Linked DNA regions of Drosophila melanogaster. The protein of the gene in region 2 purifies or fractionates together with the protein of the main gene of each other region. This does not show direct contact. Each region holds a gene or a part of one and is shown on either strand. Other genes may lie near its edges.

Evidence for each region. Proteins that work in one complex are often made in the same cells at the same time.
Region 1: the proteins of CG8300 (region 2) and Jon65Aiv purify together in Drosophila melanogaster (affinity purification with mass spectrometry, with the first as the bait; one large-scale study listed by BioGRID). This does not show direct contact.

What each region holds. Positions count from the first base shown.
Region 1 is NT_037436.4:6,037,010-6,040,635, reverse strand, and holds Jon65Aiv (jonah 65Aiv), read right to left. Parts: upstream 1,482-3,626; 5' UTR 1,441-1,481; coding exon 1,184-1,440; intron 1,107-1,183; coding exon 548-1,106; 3' UTR 501-547; downstream 1-500. Other genes in the region: CG6462 (uncharacterized protein), read right to left, coding at 2,566-3,525.
Region 2 is NC_004354.4:7,100,478-7,108,532, reverse strand, and holds CG8300 (uncharacterized protein), read right to left. Parts: upstream 3,649-8,055; 5' UTR 3,378-3,648; coding exon 3,141-3,377; intron 2,740-3,140; coding exon 2,419-2,739; 3' UTR 2,188-2,418; downstream 1-2,187. Other genes in the region: fz4 (frizzled 4), read left to right, coding at 1-221, 284-1,152; CG4617 (uncharacterized protein), read left to right, coding at 4,139-4,172, 4,229-4,741, 4,804-5,513; CG4615 (uncharacterized protein), read left to right, coding at 8,011-8,055.

The DNA of each region.
Region 1 (3,626 bases), on a different chromosome or scaffold from region 2:
CCCCTCGCAAGAAAACTAATCCGAGTATGCAGTCAAAGCCGGCTGCACCGCAACGACCTCCCAGCCCAGCAATAAACTTATTAGGGCATTAATGAAAAAAAAAAACTATCACTAAGTGAAAGTTAATTAAGTTAGATTAAGATTTGAACACTTATTGTTAGTCTCTTAACACAAAGGGAAGATTCAATAAATAATAAAAATTAATAAAAAAAAAAAAAAATTGTGTCGCTTGGCAATTTAATGAATTTTAATGAGAACTTACTCGCCGAATGCCAGTAACAGCTTGGTTCTGCATTCATTTTCATTTGTCTGTTTTGTGATGATTTTTGATTTTAGACAAAAGCATATGTACAAGACGATATGGATTGTTACTATAACCGACGACCCTCAAACTGGGAACATAAGTTCTCTTTTGATCTATATTGAGTAAAGAAATTTATAAATGAAGATCTACGTTTCCGAAATTCCCCCTATAGAGCTATAAAACTTTTGAATTTTTTAGAAATGATTTTTATTTTTAAGCGAAATTGTAGTTCCTGACTCCTTCCTAGATGCCAGTGTTAGTCTTGATCCAGTCCAGGTAGCTGGTCACACGAGTGAAGGCAGCGGGGTAGCCCTTCTCGCAACCGGCAGAGGCACCGAATGAGGTCAGACCGATCTGCTCGCTGGACGACTTGAGGACCAGAGGACCGCCGGAGTCACCGTTGCAGGTGGACTTGGCGTCGGTGGTGGCCACGCAGAGGGTTGAGTCGGTCACGACCGAGGTGCCGTAGGTTTGGGCGCACTTGGTGTTGGTGATCACAGTCAGGTCGACATACTGAAGATTGGTAGCCACACCACTGGAGGTGTCACTGGTGCGTCCCCATCCGGAGGCGACAGCGACGTCACCGACGAAGGTCGAGTAGGAGTTGGAGATGCTTGGCAGCTTGACGGCGGAGATCCTGCTGCTGGAGGAGGTGGCGGGGATCTTGATCAGGGAGATGTCGTTGCGCAGGTTAGCGCTGTTCCAGCCGGAGTGGATGATGATGTCGGAGCTGGACACGGTGTGGGTGATCTCGGCGGAGGTGCGCACGGTGGCGCCCAAGTAGACGGTCACGGACTGAACTCTGCGATAAATCAAACATACAATTGGTTAGGACATTGGTTCCAAGATATTTTCGGCATTCCTTCAAGGGACACTCACCCATCGGTACAGTGAGCAGCGGTCAGGACCCAGGTGCTGCCGATCAGAGAACCACCGCACCAGGCGCTGGACAGAGCACTCAGCTTCAGGGAAAGTCCCACCTGGTAGGGGAACTGGCCGACGGCGGCGTTGCTTCCTCCGGTGATGCGACCTCCAATGTCGCCAACGACGGGCATCTCGCGGCTGCGATGGCGCAGCTCCGGCTCGGGGAAAGCGGAGGCGGCCACAGCCAGGGCAAGGATGATCAGGAACTTCATCTTGGGAATTGTTGCTTGTTCAGTTAAGGGAACTCAACTGTTTGGCCAAGGACCAGCTGGGGTCTTTTATACTGGCCAAGTCGCGTCTGCGATTGGGTTGCAATTCAGAAATAGAGCTGTCCCGATTAGATAGGACCACTAAAGTCGGTTCGAACTACCTTATCTGTTGAGATTTTGTGCCGAAGATATGAATGAATGAACTTCAGCCACACGGTCGCCAAAATTACTTTCCCAATCCAAGAGTATTAATCCCGATACGGATCTAATCAGGGCTATGGGCTTCGAGTGGATTTCCAGATCGAGCCGCTGCGATACCAAAGGCCTAGCATGGGGTTGCTAATTAATTTGATTAGTTTTACACATACGCGATATATACATAACTATATATTGCGATACAAAATTGGCAAAGGTTTGCTTTGCTCTTCAGCGTATCTTATAATTCCCATGGTAGTCGAGTGCTATCTTATCTCCTGTCTATAGGGTGAGAAGCCGTAAGCCCACAGTTTAGTTGGGTTTGTTTACCTTCGATAAAGGTCAAGGAGTAGGACGTGAGTTGGTCAAGACTGCTTAAACTTCATAGGAAATCATACCGCCGTCTAACAATTGCGTATCTGGACTCTCTCTTTGATTACAAACACGCAAATTTCAGTTGTTTTCGCAACCGCAGCCTTCTTTATCAGCGAAAGCCGCGTGATTTTATGACGCGTTCAACCGACCACATCACTGCGGTTAATAGCCAATTCAGATGGCCAATTGAAGGCGATTAGCGGGAGGAGGCGCTGCGGTCTGTACCCAATATGCCCTCACCAAAAACGGACACTCAACCCAATGATTTCAATTTCAGTGGCGATTCATCAGCAATTTCCATGGCAATGTAATTTTTCTTTTGTGCCCTTATTGAGCTCCCCAAATTGACTTGCTCTTCTGCAATGCCGAAATGTTTATTGTTATTTATCGGTAACAATTTTCATTCAAGAGAAAACAACCACACATAAAATGGACCATTTGCACCTTCCTTTCTCGACAGAAGAACCTGTTTTGGTTTCATTGCTCAAATTGGTTTTATTGTCTGGGCCGACTATATTGTTTAGCAATTAATGGGCTGCAATTAGGCGTTAATTGCATTTAGTTGGTCATTGCCGTTTGCTGTCGGATCCATGGCAAATATGCGGTTATCCTGGTGTAGACAGTGGGACCCCCCACCTCGCATCCTTCGGCACTGCCGAACGAGGTGACCCCAATCAGGTAGCTAACATTGCGCCAGTGGTACACAACGGGGCCACCGGAGTCGCCATTGCAGGCACCACGTCCATTGCTTCCATCGGTGCACAGGTGACGTCGCTGGCTAACCAATCCTGGCAGGAAATAGCAGATGCAGCGTTCCTGATCGATCACCTCCGCATCTAAGTACTGGAGGAGTCGCGTCCGTTTGTCGGTTGAATCTCCCAAGTAACCCCAGCCAGATAGGGTCACCACTTTGCCTACCAGAAAGTTTTGATGCATGAACTCCCCAGCCAACTCAATGGGTTGCACTTGTTCTGAAGTTCTGACTTTTCTTGGCAGTCGTATTAAAGCCAAGTCACTATATCCTCCAAATCCCAAGTAATCAGGATAAATAATGAAATCTCTATGCGTGACTTGTAACTCCTCCACGGAGTCTTCTACATCGGCAAATACGGTGGCGCCCGTGTATATCTTTGCAGCTATGGCATCGGTCAGACAATGGGCTGCAGTCAAAACAAATTGAAGAGTGATAAGGGAACCACCGCACTTGACCAGATCTGCGCCACTCAGCTGAATCACCAGACCCACTTGATAGGGAAACATGCCGCGCGTGGCCAATTCTCCTCCAGCTATTCGAGTTCTCACAGCAGCGGTTTGATTACCTTCCATCTCGAATTTTTCGCAGCGAAGTCGAAAGTTTTCGTAGCCAAGCTGCCAACGTCTTTCCATGATTGCATCGTCATCGTCCGGTGTCTCCTCTTTGGGGTGCTCAAAAGTATCTAGCCAAGGCTCACTTGATTTAACTAGTGTGGATGATAGAAGTAGCAGGAAGAAAGCACTTGTAGCCTGGTATTGCGCCATTTTATCACTACGGAATTGAAAAAATAATATGGGGAATACCTGTTATTGCATTCTATACTATATCTTTTAAATGTAATATTTCCTTTTTCTGACCAAATTCA
Region 2 (8,055 bases):
GGGCTGGCACCGCGACATTCGTCGGCACAGTCCGGACTCCAAGGGCCATGTGGTCATTCCCTCGAACTTTGGAGGCAGTCCGGCGAAGAGGAACAGTGCCAAGACGGCTCAGCAGGATCTAACGCAAAACAACTTTGTGTGCTTCGTGGCCTGGGGATTGCCGGCCTTTCAAACGTCAGCAGTGATCGTTGCCCGTTTCGTGGATGCTGACGAGTTGCTTGGTGAGATATGCTATAGATCCGCCGGAGAATTCGGAGAGTAACCCAACCATACGCTCTTCTAGGCGCCTGTTTCGTAGGCAATCAGTCGGATAAGGCGCTACAGATATTGGTGGCTACGCCCGTTTTTTGCTACTGGATCTTTGGCTCGATGAATCTGATCTCCGGCTATTTGGTACACTGTCGCACCAAGGAGATCCTGAGGAATAGCAATGCACTCAGCGTGCAACAGCAACTGCAACAGCTAAGCGCACACAGTAGTTCCGGCATTGGCATATTCCTTTTCATCTATGGACTTGCATGTGCCATGCTTCTGTTGGCTGTCATTTACGAGTTTGCCAACATCGATGTCTGGCTGGGATCGGGTGATACCAATACGCCACTTTGGCCATTTTTGTTGCGCGCCTTCATGGAACTGATGCTGGGCATTTGCTGTTTTGCCTGGGTACTTGGACCAAGCATTTCCACTCTCTACAAGAGGCAAGTCAGCAATGGCAAAATGGTGAAGCATACGTCTGCCGGAGCAGCAACTGGACACCTGGACGGGCATAGTAGCTCGCGTGGATCGCATGCGGCTTGCAATAGCACGGTGGTCTCCTACCATTCGGTGCGAACTTCTATGGCCAGTGTTCCGTTGCCGCCAAGTCCGTACAAACTGAAGACTTCGCCTGGTACCGGCTCTATATCGCTGAATCAGATGTCCAACTATTCGCTGGGCAGGAGCGTGCATCACCAGCAGCGCCATTCGCCGCATCATCATCATCACCAGCAGCAGCAGCATCATCAGTTCCATCCCCACCACAATCACCAGCATCACTCCACATCCTCGCATCGGCTGTATTATCCGCCAGGTAGCTATGCCTCGCAAAAGTACAGCCAGCACGGCAGCTACTATCCCCACTTGCAGCAGTATGGCAATGAGACGCTACTCTAGACGGAATTGGATTAGGTACCATTTCAGGGCAGGAAATGCTTCCTGCTTCCAGTCAATGTTCCTGCAGCAGCTGCTGTGCCAAAGTCAATCCTCTACTATAACTTAATGCGGTTTCGGGTATCGAAAGAGGCAAAGCAACTTAAATGGGTGGGGAAACGGTCCAATTTGTTTGTCATAAAACGATCGTGAGATAACGATATCGTTATTTCGATTTTAGTTGCTTTGCCTGTCCATAGAACACAATGGGGTAAACCGATCTATGTACTGTGTATATAACCCCGGAAATGTGCTCTTAGTGCTTTAGTTTGGGCCTTTATCGCGAGGTCATAGGTCATCTACAATGTATTTGTAATTGCCCTAGATGGGCTTCATATCCTATTTTCCTGTGTGTACTTAATGTTGCTCCTAATTAGTTGCCCCTTGCGTTGCCTTTTTACCATTTTGGTGTAACCAAATTCAATAATCGCTCTTGCCTTTTAGACATTAGGACTTAATGTGTGTCGCCTTTGCGTACATAACACATATATACATATATATATTTAGCATTTTTATATAAATTCTTTTTTTTTGAGTTAGAGAGAGAGAGAAACGCGCAGCAACCAAATACTGTGATACGCATGTTCATGTCTTCAAAAACAAAAAAATAAAAATGGGAACCAGAAACTAGGTTTCCAACTTTGCTGTCTTCTCCCGATGCCGAAACAAGTGTACTTAACAATCGAAAAAAAAAAACGCAATTGCAATCGTAGCCGTAATGCCTAATTGTATTCAGTGTGCCATTAGCTTTAGGGACTTAACTGAAACGAGTCAATATCATGAAATTACCTTAAAAGAGTCCTTTTCCAGCAACGAACTTTGGCGGAATTACTGAGGGTTTTCCTTCAACTTCTGCTGATTTTCGCACAGAAAAAGTCCTACTTCTAAATGTCCAACTAACTAGCTAAGAAACTAACTAACCTTTATACAATTGCGGGCTAATACGAATCGTATGGAGCCCGCGACTAACAGTATATGTATTGTATTGTATTGTATTTTATATGTGTATTTTTTTTATTATCATATATGTATATGTATAACTTATTTGCTAGCGAATAAAGTGTCGAAAAGTTAATATCTGTTTTGATTCATTTCGTTTCGCATGGTTTTTACCAAGTAAAAGAGTCTCCAAGTGTCGCCAGTACTCCATGAGCATTTTGTTTCGCCTTCCTGCCAAGAAAATCGCCACCTTGCACAACCCACCTGGCAAGTGGGTGGCCCAGTGGGCGCCTACTGCCGTGTGGGTGGCAAGGTCGCCTCGCTGCGTGTTGGTTCGCATAGGACGATGGTTTCGTTGCGATTGTTGTTGCCGCTGCTGTTGTTGTTGCTGCTACTGGTCGTGGTCGACATGGCCCGCGGGTGCCAATTGTCAAGGTCCTCGTCGCCGTGCTCCTTGGCCCTGTGGTAGTTCTCCAATTCGCTGGCATACTTGCTGCTGGTGATACCAAGCAGGTGGGCCAGCCCACCGCCCACATAGTCGATGCCGGCCAGGAATCGGTTGCCCATCCTGCTGGCCTTGTAACGCAGGCGTGGTCCCAGCGGCATTTCGCTCTAAAAGGTGGCAAAAAAAAAAAAAGCGGGCTAAATGAGTCACGCTAAATGGTCAATGAGGAGGGGGGCGGGGGGTGGCAGCTGCTTATCTTTTTCGTGGCCCTGGGCCCTGTTTGTTTACTTAAACAGCTCAAAACACACATTTTCATTGAAAGATATAAAATTTCTCACATTATTATCATAATTCGCTTCGAACATTAGTCACGTCTCGAGCTCAAAGTGAAAAGTTATTATCTGGATCAGGAGAACTGGGCTAATCTTGAGCAAATTTAACTAACTGTGTTAATCCGGACAATCCCGCTTTAAAAAAGGTAAACAAGCAATGCAGCTACATGACCATGTACTAAATGGATGGCCGGAAGTGCATTACTCCACCCATAATCCTTGCTGAATGTATGTACCTCGTTTAAATGGACGTCGTAGCATTTGTCGCCCATTTCCGCATCCGCCTCGTCCTCGCTGCCCGAGGACAACTCCTCCATGACGCCGTCGCTAAAGTACAGCATGCGCTTGTTGGACTGCAGTTCAAGGGCGCTCACATTGTCCGTCTCGGATGCACTTGCTCCACTCGCAGATGCCAGTTCCAATCCTCCAGCTGCACTGCGTACTTCGCCACTCTTGTTCCTCTCCGCTGACATGGCTATGGATAGCTCTAAACCCGATTAAGTACCGCCTCGATTGATTGACGCTGCGCGAATGTTTTTGCTTGCGCTTGAGCTTCGTTTGAATCGCAGCCGCCGTTTTGGTCATGAAAAAAGCGGACGCGGGTCAACGCCAAATGCGTATACGGCCGGCTGGGGGCCAAAATGTCCTTGGGTTGGGGGCCACCGGCGAAACGACTCACAAACGGCGAGAATCGCGTGCCATGGGGCGCTTGGCGCAGTTAGGTGCAAAGCAAATCGATAAACTAAAAGCCGCTTTCAAACAGCAAAAAAAAAAGTCGAAACAAAACAAAGGTGCGGCAGTGTGACCAGCTGATGGTTTTTGCAAGCTAACTGGATATTAATTTAGATGTATTGTAATAAAAATGAAATTGCAGTCGTATATATCGTAAATGTTTTTGTTTATAAAAATAATTAATAATATAATAAAAAAATTAAGTTGTGCGTGCACATCCTGTGCTTATAATTTAAATAATATAACAATAAAAAATATTATATTATTAAATAATTAAGTTTAATGGTTTCCTACTCTGTACAATTGACTGGTGCAATGGTTATTAACTTAGCAATATATTCAAAAACTAAAATGGTTATCTAGTGTTCCATATTTAACCATCGCTTGCAATGCATCGCGTTTTAAAGCTCTGGTCACACCAAACAGCTGTTTTGTTTGCTTCGTTTAATTCGTTCTTTTTGCAACAAATTGCATCCCAATCTTCCAAAGCAGGTATCCAAACATGGAGTCCCCAACCTCGCACCTGGTGGCCAAGGGTGAGTGGAAAAAGCGGCAGCCGTCAATGGAATCGGGGTCATAAATTCCCAATTAGATTTCCAGGTGACGGGTGTTTCGCGCAGCGGACGCGTACGCAAAAAATCGTCGAAATTGTTGGATTTTGAATCTCCGGATGAGATCGAGAAGCGCACAAGGCGTCACAGTGGCGCCAGACAGCCAGCCAGATATTCGGGCCGCGGCAGGCCATCGAATGCGCTGCGTGATCTGGATCTTGACCAGGAGATGCTCGTGGATGATGGCATTATCTCGGATAGCGAGGAATTCCATCCGGATACAACGGCAACGGTCGTGGCCATTCTGAATTCCGACGATGAACTGGACAATCTGGTGCAGGATATCGTCGATGGTGTCCAGGCGGAGGCCACCAGCCAAGAGTCATCCGTCCGTCAGAGTCTTTACATGCGCGAGAAGTCCAACAAGCGGCAGGTGCTCAAGGACGGCAAGGTGGTGAGTGCCAAGGTGCAGCGCAAGGACAAGGGCAAGCAGCGCTACACCGCCTACAGTCTGTGGGCCAAGGAGGCGCGACAGAAGGATCTCCAGGATCTAGGTAGGTTGCTACACATCTGTGCGCTCTCTATCGCTTATTGACCATTCCCCGCACGCTTGCAGACTTCACCAGCGCGACCAGACGCCTCAGCGAGCTGTGGGCGAACGTTTCCAATCGGGACAAGAACACCTGGCGGCGCAAGGCCAAAATCGAGGCGTCCAGGGCCAAAACTCGCGACAAAACCGCTGCAAACGGTGCAACCCAGCCGGCGAGCAACGGCAGCACGGCTCTGGCAGATGCCACGCAGCACGAGACGATCTTTCAGAACCGTGCGACAACAAGTCGCACTCGAAAACTGGCCGCCGATCGGCAGCAATCCTCAATAGAAGCGGCTGCCGCAGCGGCGGCAGCAGCAGCGACTGGCACCAACACACAGCGGCGCAGCATCAGCACACGAAGTGCCAGGTCGCAGGTCTCGAAGAGCGCGACGAAACAAGCGCAAGTGCACACGGATGCGGACGTCAGCGGCCGGACTGGGGGTCAGCTGAAGCAGGAGGAGGTGCAAAAGACCAGCATCGAAGTGATCGATGCGGCCGCACATCTGAAGCTGCTCGGCGAGAGCCTGACTGTGATTGGCGAGCGACTGAAGAAGCACAATGGATACGTGGCGCTATCGGGCAGCTTGTCCGTGCTCCTCGACAGCCTGCTCTGCGCCATGGGACCGCTGCTCTGCATGACCACGCAAATACCCGGCATGGAGAACAATGTGCAGTTGAGCAAAAATCTGGCCGACACGCTCGACAACATCGCCTACGTAATGCCCGGACTATGAAGTAAATTCCGGATTGCAACTGCAAATGCATACATATATATATATATATAATCATACCAGGCCGCTGCGCTTCCAGCGGCGACTAGAGTCGCCATCGGGATCTGTATGTTTGTAAGGAGTTGGCCAACCTGGAAATAGTTAATCGCATTAGATATGCCTAGTTGATAAACTGAAGCATCTAGATCGTAAGTAAAAGGTCTCCCTCTAATTGAGTTTTTTTTTTATTTGCTTCTTGAATTGAAATTCGTACGCTAAAAAGTTTAGTAGTTCACTTATTTATTTCCACTTTTTGTTTTTTGCAACATTTAAGCACAAATCATCGAAACATTGGTAGAATTAGGCAACATTAAATATCCTATAATCCTTAAGTGAAATAAATGTGAATCACAAGATTCTTATTTCAGCTTCAAATTAAGCAGGCACTTTTTATAATAAACGTAATAAATAAAGATAAATATAAAAGCTAAAAATATGAGATGATTTCTTCCTCTGCCCAAAAATCTTTATAAAAGTGAAATATTTTTAAAAATGATCTCAAATAAGCCATAATTGAAGGTTCGAATAGTGGAACTATAAGCTAGATATAAACTTTAAATATTTATAAATACGTTAATTATTTGCTTACTTTCTAGAGATGGCACTTCGCTGGTGCGCCATCGATGACTTGGCTTGCCGTTACAACGGCGAGCTATCGATGTTACATCGCCGCCCTGCCCACCACTAGCCAGTCCGCGGAAAGTAAATAAGAAGACGGACGCCAAATCGAATCTTCCCACATCCCCGGATGCAGTGCAGCAAGCTCTGGGTCCCTGAGAATCCTGCGTGGGCCTGGGATTCCGAATCCTCTTCCGCCCCGGATCCGCACGTCAGCGCGGCATCCGCATCCGCCACCGCTTCCGCCCACGCACAGCATCCGCAGCCACATCCGCGGCAGCAAAAAAACGGTGAGTTTTCCACCTGCATTTTTTTTTGGATTTTCCGGGGGGGGGGGGGGCAGCAGCTGTGATTGGGATGGAAAATACTTGTGTAGGTGGACGGTCAGGTTGTAGGGGCGAATTGCGTGACGGCAGCGCTACAAATTGGATTAGTGCGGCGATTGATTCTGAATGGGAGATGTAAACAATCTTCCTGTGCACTGAGAAAAATAACATGGTAAAGCAAGGCACAAAAAAAGATGGAAAGATTGGTTGAATAAGATAAAATAGGTTTAAGACTAAGCTGAAATATCATTAGCCAAAAAACATGAATGTGAAATGAATTACTTTAAAGGATTCTTAAGCACAATTTGTTTAGAAAATAAATTCGATTCAGTAACTGTTAAATTCAAAGCTTAAAAAGAAATGGAATACCTTGCGATTTGCAGTCCAGACATTTTCTCGCAGTGCACTAGCTCCCCGCCCGCTGTTTTGTAATTGGCAATATAAGGAATGCCCGAGGTATCTATTTTTATACCGCTTAGCATAGTCGTTATGGTGATAAATTCCGAAGGGGGGGTGGGGGGTTTGTTCGTTATGCTTTTCAACCCCGTGACCTCCCACCGCGCCCAATGGGGCATACTTTTGGGGGCGCCGGGAACTGGGAGGTGTTTTAATTCCACCATCGTTGGTTTATTGAAAAGTTGTCATAACTCAGAACAGACAAGCCAGCAAAGTTTCGAGTCCTCTCAATTGCGGGCAAATACAGGCAGATCTTAAAACTATAATGTTTCATTAAATTCACGCCGTCATTGAATCGAATATCGTGTTTTCCCGTTGGTAACTATCTAGATATATGAACTAATTTAAAAGGAAAACTCAAGGTTTTTATGTAAAACGAACGCGTGGTTTTTCTAGCAGCTCATTTTCATTTCAATTGAACTTTAAGATGAGCTTAAAACTCGCCTTTCGCATTTCAAATACCAAATAATTGGTAAACATTGCCATTTACACAATCAATCATATTATAACTTCTTCGGGTAATGAGAATGAAAACCTTTTCTTTTGGATTGAAAGTGCAATCGGATTCCGAGAGACGCCATAATCATAATAGTGCGCCCGCGGATGGGCATATGTTCATTTGTACATACATACATCTCATCCGAATCGGACTTTGAGCCATGTTCTCGACACGCGAGATAAGCGGCCGGCAATCAGAGAACTGGTTTCAATTGCGGATCGGGTCAAAATCGCCCAACCTTGGGCCATTGTATGCAAGTTGTCTGTGCGAAACTCAATGAGCATAAATTAGTCTCAATGCAGGAATGCCTCAAGTGTCCGGCCGCTCGTCCATTTCCATTGTCCAACCATTATTGCAGCTGGCCAAGCGCTGGCTTATCACTCGAGGCGAGGCCCAAAAGGCGAAGATAGAGACGAATGATAATCAATTGGCCATAAAACGGGTGAAGTGTGGATGGTGTTTGGGTTAGCCGGGTTAGTCGTCGTCTGTCTAATCGAGTGGCAATCAATCAATTTGGCAAATCGGACAACCAATTCACAATCTAATCCACAGTCTATCCACGATGAGCAACAGCGAAGGAAGCGGCCACGAAAGTGGAATCCGTACA